2 linked regions of the Arabidopsis thaliana genome follow. The protein of the gene in region 1 interacts with the protein of each later gene in a pairwise test. Each region holds a gene or a part of one and is shown in the gene's direction. Other genes may lie near its edges.

Region 1 (4,290 bases):
TATATTTAACACGACTCTTCCACAAATATTTTTGCTTAAAAGTCGGATACAAATATTACCAAAATTGGATTGTGTCTACTAATTATGTTTCTATATTTTATAATAACAATATGTAGAAGATTTGGTTCTGATTTAAATTTATGATTCTCTTTTCATATTTGTTTGATATTTTTTTAACTACTTTGAAGAATCATATAGTATATAAACTTCCAAAAACCCCAATTTTTCTGTATATATTATGATTCACAATTTTAAAAACGGTACTATATTACCCAATTAATGAAAAAATATGTTCAACGTCACACATCATCTATAATGTTTAGACAATGATTCAAAAGTCACATTATAAATAAGATCAAAGTAAATCCAAGTCCAAATGAGCATGAACCTTCACTTAACAAGCATTAAAATTTACAAGTTTGTATACGGGTTAGTTTAGGTTTTAGTTAAACTGTTTCATTTTACCATAAATATTAAGATAGATATATTTGGAAGCAATAGAAAGTTTATAATATTATGAACATATAAAAATAAAAAATTACACGGGAAAAATTATATTGAGGGACGAGGTTTTATGATGGCTTAACGGAACTGGTTTTGAAGCAACATTAATATAAATTTTAAAATATCATTAACCTGTTTCTCCAATATGGGACATATTAAAATCAATCAAATTTTAATAATATTATGAATATTTGAACATATTAAAAAAGAGAGCACATGACAAATTATAATGCGAGACGTGTTATATGGCAGGACACTTTTAAATTAATAAAAATTTTAAATATCATTAACTACATTTCAATAAGAGTTAAACTCTCATATATTATTTTTTAACACAGTGATAACTAGACATATCGAATCAACCTGATTTAAATACGATTGTATAAATAAAAATTATTTTGTGGTATACCATTGCTTAATAATAATTGTAAACTATAAATTTAAATTTCTTATAAAATAATACTATTATAAAATTTTATATAGAACACATAATCATTAAATATTTATAAATTACTATTTTTAACAAATAAATCGTCCCCGCAAAAATTAATTAACGTGTTTTTGGAAGAAGAATAAAAGCAAAAAAAACACCTCTAAATGAACTTTGAGACTGATTAGGTGGGATAGGTTAGTGAGGGATTAGGTGAATCAATCAACGTGTTAAATGAGTAAATGACGCTGTCCTTTTCGATAGATTAACTTTCTTTTGTTTTGTTCTCGTTTGTTAGATGTTTATGGTATTAAGAAGTAAATGCTTCTTGTGAAACCGATAAATGTTTCTTCACTGAAACACCCTTAAATGGACGAAGGAAAAACAAAACAAAGAAGTACATGCTTCTTATAATCTTATGAAACCGATAAAACCAAAAGAAAATTATACTCCTTCAGAAAAATGATTTCCTGAGTTTTTCACCAAAATTAAGGAAATAATAAATGGTGCATTAATTAATTATTTGTGTAAAATCTTGTAATTTTTAGTAGTTTTTTACTCCGCTTCTATTCAAAAGTAAAATAAAAATAAAAATGCACCCTTAAATATACTTTTAAATTCAGTTTTGTTTTTAAAAAAAAAAAGTAAAATCTGCTTTAAATATACTATAAGGAATCAATCTTTTTGATACAAGAATAAAATCTCAGAAAAATCATTTTTTATATACAAGGGAGTAATTAATTATTATTAGCTCGATTTTAGTGGAATTCGTCTTCACGATATTCTCTTAATTAATATCATTTTTTTCTGACACCTGTTCGTCTTGGCTGTCTTGTGACTTATTTCTTGTAGTGAATAATTGGATTTGTTCTCTTGATGACTTGTTTTTTGTAGTTATTCTACTTATAATTAGCTATTTTATTTTCTTCTGACACATGTGCTTCACCTAACCAATCTCCAAGATCATAATAAGGGCGTTTTAGTGCACAACTATTAACGCAAGAGACCAAGGAAAAAAAAAACAGATACTTCATTTTGAGTTCTTGAATACTTGTTTTATCTTGTTTTCGTTTTTTACAATTTGGGAAAGGAAATGGAGCCAACGTTCCATGCTTTTATGTTTCCCTGGTTTGCTTTTGGTCATATGATTCCTTTTCTACATCTTGCAAACAAACTAGCTGAGAAAGGTCATCAAATCACTTTCTTGCTACCTAAGAAAGCCCAAAAACAGTTGGAACATCACAATCTGTTCCCAGACAGTATTGTCTTTCACCCTCTCACAATCCCTCATGTCAATGGCCTCCCTGCTGGTGCTGAGACAACCTCGGATATCTCAATCTCGATGGACAACTTACTGTCGGAAGCCTTGGATCTCACTCGCGATCAGGTTGAAGCTGCGGTTCGTGCTCTGAGACCGGACTTGATCTTTTTTGATTTTGCTCATTGGATTCCAGAAATTGCCAAAGAGCATATGATCAAGAGTGTGAGTTACATGATAGTATCTGCAACAACAATAGCTTATACATTTGCCCCTGGTGGTGTATTAGGTGTTCCCCCACCAGGTTATCCTTCATCAAAGGTGTTGTACCGTGAAAACGATGCTCATGCCTTAGCAACCTTATCTATCTTCTACAAGAGACTTTATCATCAGATCACTACAGGTTTTAAGAGCTGTGACATCATTGCATTGAGGACATGTAATGAAATCGAAGGTAAATTCTGCGACTATATATCAAGTCAATACCATAAGAAGGTTCTCTTGACTGGTCCAATGCTCCCTGAGCAAGACACAAGTAAACCACTAGAAGAACAGTTGAGTCATTTTCTGAGCAGGTTCCCACCGAGGTCAGTGGTGTTTTGTGCACTTGGTAGCCAGATCGTTCTTGAAAAGGATCAATTCCAAGAACTCTGCTTAGGGATGGAGCTGACAGGTTTACCGTTTCTTATAGCGGTAAAGCCACCGAGAGGATCATCGACGGTCGAAGAAGGGTTACCAGAAGGGTTCCAGGAGCGGGTGAAAGGGCGTGGTGTGGTTTGGGGAGGATGGGTGCAACAACCATTGATATTGGATCATCCGTCAATAGGCTGCTTTGTGAACCATTGTGGTCCGGGAACAATATGGGAGTGTCTTATGACTGATTGTCAAATGGTTTTGCTTCCATTTTTAGGTGATCAAGTTCTCTTCACAAGATTGATGACCGAGGAATTCAAGGTGTCTGTAGAAGTGTCGAGAGAAAAAACAGGATGGTTTTCAAAGGAGAGCTTGAGCGATGCGATCAAGTCTGTGATGGATAAAGATAGCGACCTCGGAAAGCTAGTGAGGAGTAACCACGCCAAATTGAAGGAGACTCTTGGTAGTCATGGATTATTAACTGGTTACGTGGATAAATTTGTAGAGGAATTGCAAGAGTATTTGATTTGACCAATGTTGTTGATTCTCACTTATTTTGGTAATTAATTCTGAAATTATTTGTTTTGTATGATTGGAGACAAATAAATTGCAAGAGTTCTCATAAGTCCGGCTAAATTTCCAATGACTTTGAACACTATAAAAAGTGCATTTCTATGTCAAAATCGAATTTAATTTGAATGAGAAATAAGGGTCCAAAGTGGTTAGTTTGGAAGAGCTTATAATTCTTGTAATTTTACAAATGAGTAAATGTCCCACCTTGGAAGCATGGATTTTTTTTTATTTTTCCACTAGTGACACCATGGAGTACGAGATGGATGAGTATGATGCAAAAGTACACAAGAACTTGTCATTGTTGCTATCAAGTTATACAAATGTAAGTTTTCAAACAATTTATAATACTTTCTGAAGTTAATTTTAAAAACCTTTAAAATCTTATCACAACCTTAACCTTCTAAAAACCTTTTATAGATTTTACAAATTGTTTAAAAGTTTTGAAAGGTTCTTACAAAGATTCTAAAATGTTTTTAAGACCTTGTAAAATCTTGAGATTATATTGTTCAAAATGCCATTTAATTTGTTGGTCCAAAATATGTGGATATGCCAATTATTGAATTGGCTTGTGGATTTGCCATTCTTGGTGGGTTGGAAAGACGGTTTTTACCTTTAGGGAGATGGGCAGGAGTTGTGAGTTCAAACGGTTTTTGGGAAATAAGTGGATTAGATTACAAGTTCTTATAAGTTGTGGACAATAAACAATCTATTAGTTACATATTTATTTAGAAAAGAGTAGTGACTTTTAATTTTGGTAAAACTAAATTAACGATCGAAAAAAATGGGGGAGGAAATATGTGTTCCATCAAATTTATACTTTTTCTTCATCTCTAACTAATTTATAGGCATTTTTTATGGACTACATTATCTTCTCGTTTTTTAGAAAACAAAA
Region 2 (4,150 bases), on another chromosome or scaffold:
TAGAAGTTTGGATCGAAACAATTGTTTTTTTTTGTTTTTGATAAAATATTGATCGACACAATTGTTTGACATTCATTTAATGTTCTTAACACAAAACCAAAATCCATATGACTATATTTATATTAATTATGTTGTTAGTTTTGTTGAAATAAGTTATCCAAAAACAAATTTCAAGAATAATTTGAAAGATTTTGGGTCTTTCTACTTTCTAGGAATTGCAAGGTCAAGGCGGTTGGTCTTGTGTCATGATTTTCTTCGTTTTAACTATTCAAAGAAAACAAATATTGATAATAAAATAACCTTGTTGTGATTATCTAGAAAAAGGGCTGTAGAAGAAACAAGAAGCATCTCTGTTTTATGTTCCCAAATGAACCAGAAACTCTTAGAAACTTCTAACACCTCTTAGAAACCAACCTTTTAGCATAAACCCTAATCCCATCTTTATAAACCAAACACTTCTTGCCTTTTTCTTGCAAACTCACAAAAAAGAAGACAAGAAGACAAAAATTAAGAAATTTACCGATTTGAAAACAATGGCTCTAGCTCGTCTGGCTTTGAGAAACCTTCAACAAAAACTGTCTCCTAGTTTGATGGGTCAATCTTGTGAAAGAGGTTTGGTCGGAAATCGACATAATCCAATGAAGCTAAACAGATTCATGGCTACTTCGGCTGGTGAACAAGAGGATAAGATGAACACAGAAGTGAGTGTGTCTGAGAAGAAATCTCCTCGACAGAATTTCCCCCGGAGACGTGGCCGAAAAAGCCTCTGGCGTAACACCGACGATCATGGCTACTTCACTCCCACCCTAAATGGTACGTTTGTCATTTTAGTTCATTATTGATATACCTATTTAGCAGAAAATTTCAATAGTGTCACAATAATAATATTTTCGAAATAAATTATATAAAAAAAATTCAACATTTAAGTGTAAAATATATCCCATAAAAGAAAAATTAAGAAGAAAATTTGAAATTCTAGAATCATAAAAATACATCAAATTTTAAATTTACATTTTCATTGCATTAAATCTCATGAAACATAATTAATGTAAACCTCTATTTTTGCTTGAATTGAATTTTTTCTTCTTCTTAAAACAGAGTTCTTTCCTCCGACTATAGGAAATACTCTGATACAAGCAACAGAGAATATGAACAGAATTTTCGACAACTTCAACGTGAATCCATTCCAACTAATGGGTCAAGTGAAAGAGCAAGACGACTGTTACAAGCTCAGATACGAGGTTCCAGGGCTAACCAAAGAAGACGTGAAGATCACGGTAAATGATGGAATCTTGACGATTAAAGGAGATCACAAGGCGGAGGAAGAGAAAGGCTCACCTGAGGAAGACGAGTACTGGTCTTCAAAGAGTTATGGTTACTACAACACGAGCTTATCGTTGCCTGATGATGCTAAGGTTGAGGACATTAAGGCGGAGCTCAAGAATGGTGTGCTTAATCTTGTGATTCCTAGGACGGAGAAGCCAAAGAAGAATGTTCAGGAGATTTCTGTTGAGTAGAAGAGATACGGTGTCGTTTTTGTGTTCTTTGATGGACTAAGCAAATTAATGTTGTACCTTTTTTATGTTTATGCGAATGGAATCAGTTATTAAGTTGCTAATTAACTTAGTTCATTTGCGCAAACAAAAGAAGCTAGAAAATACATTATAGACTAATTGAACAAGCAAAGAATGAACCAGTTTTGTGTTTGTAATGAGAATGGAATAAATTGTTATTCAGCATAGTTAATTTTCGCAAAAGAAAGAAGCCAAAATTAATTAAAAGAAGCAGCAAATGTTGTGTCCCTTTTATGTTTTCTATGCGAATGGCTCAATGGAGTAAATTGCTAATTCACGTCATGAACACAAAAATGTTGATATATTAAACAAGAAGTCCATTTTTGTACCTCATATCAAAATTTTATTTGTAAATTTTGTATTAATAATTGTGGATTTGCTATACTATACTATGAAATATTTTTCTTTATAGACAAGTTATGTTATACATTAAATTATTTATTTATTAATAAGTACAGTATTTTAGTGTATTGTCAGAGTTCAGTTTCTTTAAAGAAAACACAATATTTTTTTTTTTTGTCGTCAAGAAAACACAATATTTATGTTAAACAAAAATGCATGATATTTCAATAGTTTGTGGAAAATTATAGAAAATATTTCATTTTCCTTCTTTTAGTTTGGTATTAAGAAGGAAAAAACCAAAAACATTTTTTTGATAATGTATACATAAATTAAAATTAAAATAATGAGAAAACAAAACAAGGTCCAAAATACCTTGTGAAGAAAATGGCGACGGCGTTTGCCAACACGACTTCAAGCTCCAACCTTTACCTCCATCGCTGCCGTAAAAACCATCCTCTTCCATCTCCGTCGTTCTTTTCACCGTTCCGGTCGTCTCCACTTCCTTCTCAGACCCTTTTCCTCGTCCCCACTCCAAAACCTGTACGACGCATCGCGGTCGCTCCTCTCGGCCCTCCAACGCCGCCTAGTCCCGACCCACCTCCGCCTAAAAACACGACTGAGCTCACAAGTTCGTCTTTCCCTTCTTACCCTTAAAACTTCAATGTTTCAACTCTGAGTTCTGATTTTGTTTACTGCCAATTCTATTTTTCAATCTTTCCTAATTCGATGAAATTGCATTACGGAATTCGAATTAGGAGAATGAAGGTGGTTTAACTGCTATTGATTCGTAGATAAAGATGTTAATCTTAGTCCTCAAGATCGATTACTGTTCATTGCTAAAGTTTTGATCTTTGTGACAATTTATAGACTTTTACTCTTGTTAAGCATTAAGGATTTATAAATCTCCTCCTTTTACAACTTGTGAATGTCTTCCAAAAGTTCCACCATTTTCTTTTCCCTACAGGTTTAGTCATTGGTTGCAATACGAGAGCAATCTTCTTAACAATTTGGATTCATAGTTGTTGTTTGGTATCACATTTTGTGTAGGTCTTGTGGGAGTAGCGTCGATGATTCAAGACCGTGTAAAGATCTTTCTTTCAGTACTAATTTGGATCTCTCTCTTCTTTTGGGCTTCGGCTTTACAAGGAAGAGGCAGCAAAGGTAATGGTAAAGGGAAGAAGGGTTCACGCTTCAAATAGTATTAGTTAGATTGGTGTGGTGATGATGATGATGATTGATGAAAACTCCTCTACACGTTTGTGTATATATACAGAGGAAATATTCTTCCAAGTAAAGCAAATTTCTTGTCAGACTACAGTTTTATACTAGAAACTAGATTGTTCTCTTCTTACGATATCTCTAGCTTAGAGCTATAGAGATTACTCTACTGTGATGAAACTAAAGTAGTTTGCATTTAAGTCAAAATGCCAAATCAATATCATTGTTTATTGAAAGCTGTTTCAGATTGTAAATGACTAGATGTGTTTGGTGTGTGCTTGATTCAGCCAAACGGTAAACCGCACCGTTTCTTTGATTTGAATGTTTGTTGTATAAAATGGGCCTTTAGATATGTTATATAACTTGTTTGGGCTTCAACATACTCTTTTATTGGGCCTCTCTATATAATATAATATTTCCAAAGTTGTATTTAATTATTATTTGATTTATATTTAAAACAGTGGTTGTTTATTCATGATATGAAAAAAGAAATAACTGGATTTAGGTAAACCTTATTCAATACTGGGACAATGAATTAACCAGCTCATGATTAGTTGGACCTGTTTTGGTTAAAGGCTGGTAGTAAGTTTAGAAACAGAAATTTATGATAAGAGCCTAACATTTTGTTCTGACCACACTGAGTAATTTAACAATCTATCTAAATTAAGATTTTATGCTATGTTTAATTTATATTTGTTCTGATTATAGCAAATAAATTTCCATATCTAGAGATCTTCTTCATACACAATAAAAAAAACTAGTATTTGAACTTTTGTATGTATTAAAAATTGCAAGATTTTGTAAGTACAGATTCACCAAGGTGAGGTGTGTGATTAGGAAACTTTGATTAGTTGTCATGTGTCATCAACAGGCCATGAAAAGGAAATCTTTGAAATTCAAAAAACAATACCTTTTGATGAAATTATTACTATATAAATACTATATGTGACTATGTGTGGATATGCACAATCATTCCCACTAATAGTTTAATAAAGTGTATAATTTTTTTCAAATTA

Evidence for each region. Proteins that work in one complex are often made in the same cells at the same time.
Region 2: the proteins of AT2G22930 (region 1) and AT1G52550 interact in a protein complementation assay, tested with the Arabidopsis thaliana proteins (one large-scale study listed by BioGRID).

What each region holds. Positions count from the first base shown.
Region 1 is NC_003071.7:9,757,739-9,762,028, forward strand, and holds AT2G22930 (UDP-Glycosyltransferase superfamily protein), read left to right. Parts: upstream 1-1,856; 5' UTR 1,857-2,027; coding exon 2,028-3,356; 3' UTR 3,357-3,502; downstream 3,503-4,290. Other genes in the region: AT2G22940 (uncharacterized protein), read right to left, coding at 3,917-4,008.
Region 2 is NC_003070.9:19,572,150-19,576,299, reverse strand, and holds AT1G52550 (uncharacterized protein), read left to right. Parts: upstream 1-2,240; 5' UTR 2,241-2,300; coding exon 2,301-2,544; intron 2,545-2,963; coding exon 2,964-3,115; 3' UTR 3,116-3,545; downstream 3,546-4,150. Other genes in the region: AT1G52560 (HSP20-like chaperones superfamily protein), read left to right, coding at 534-813, 1,099-1,517.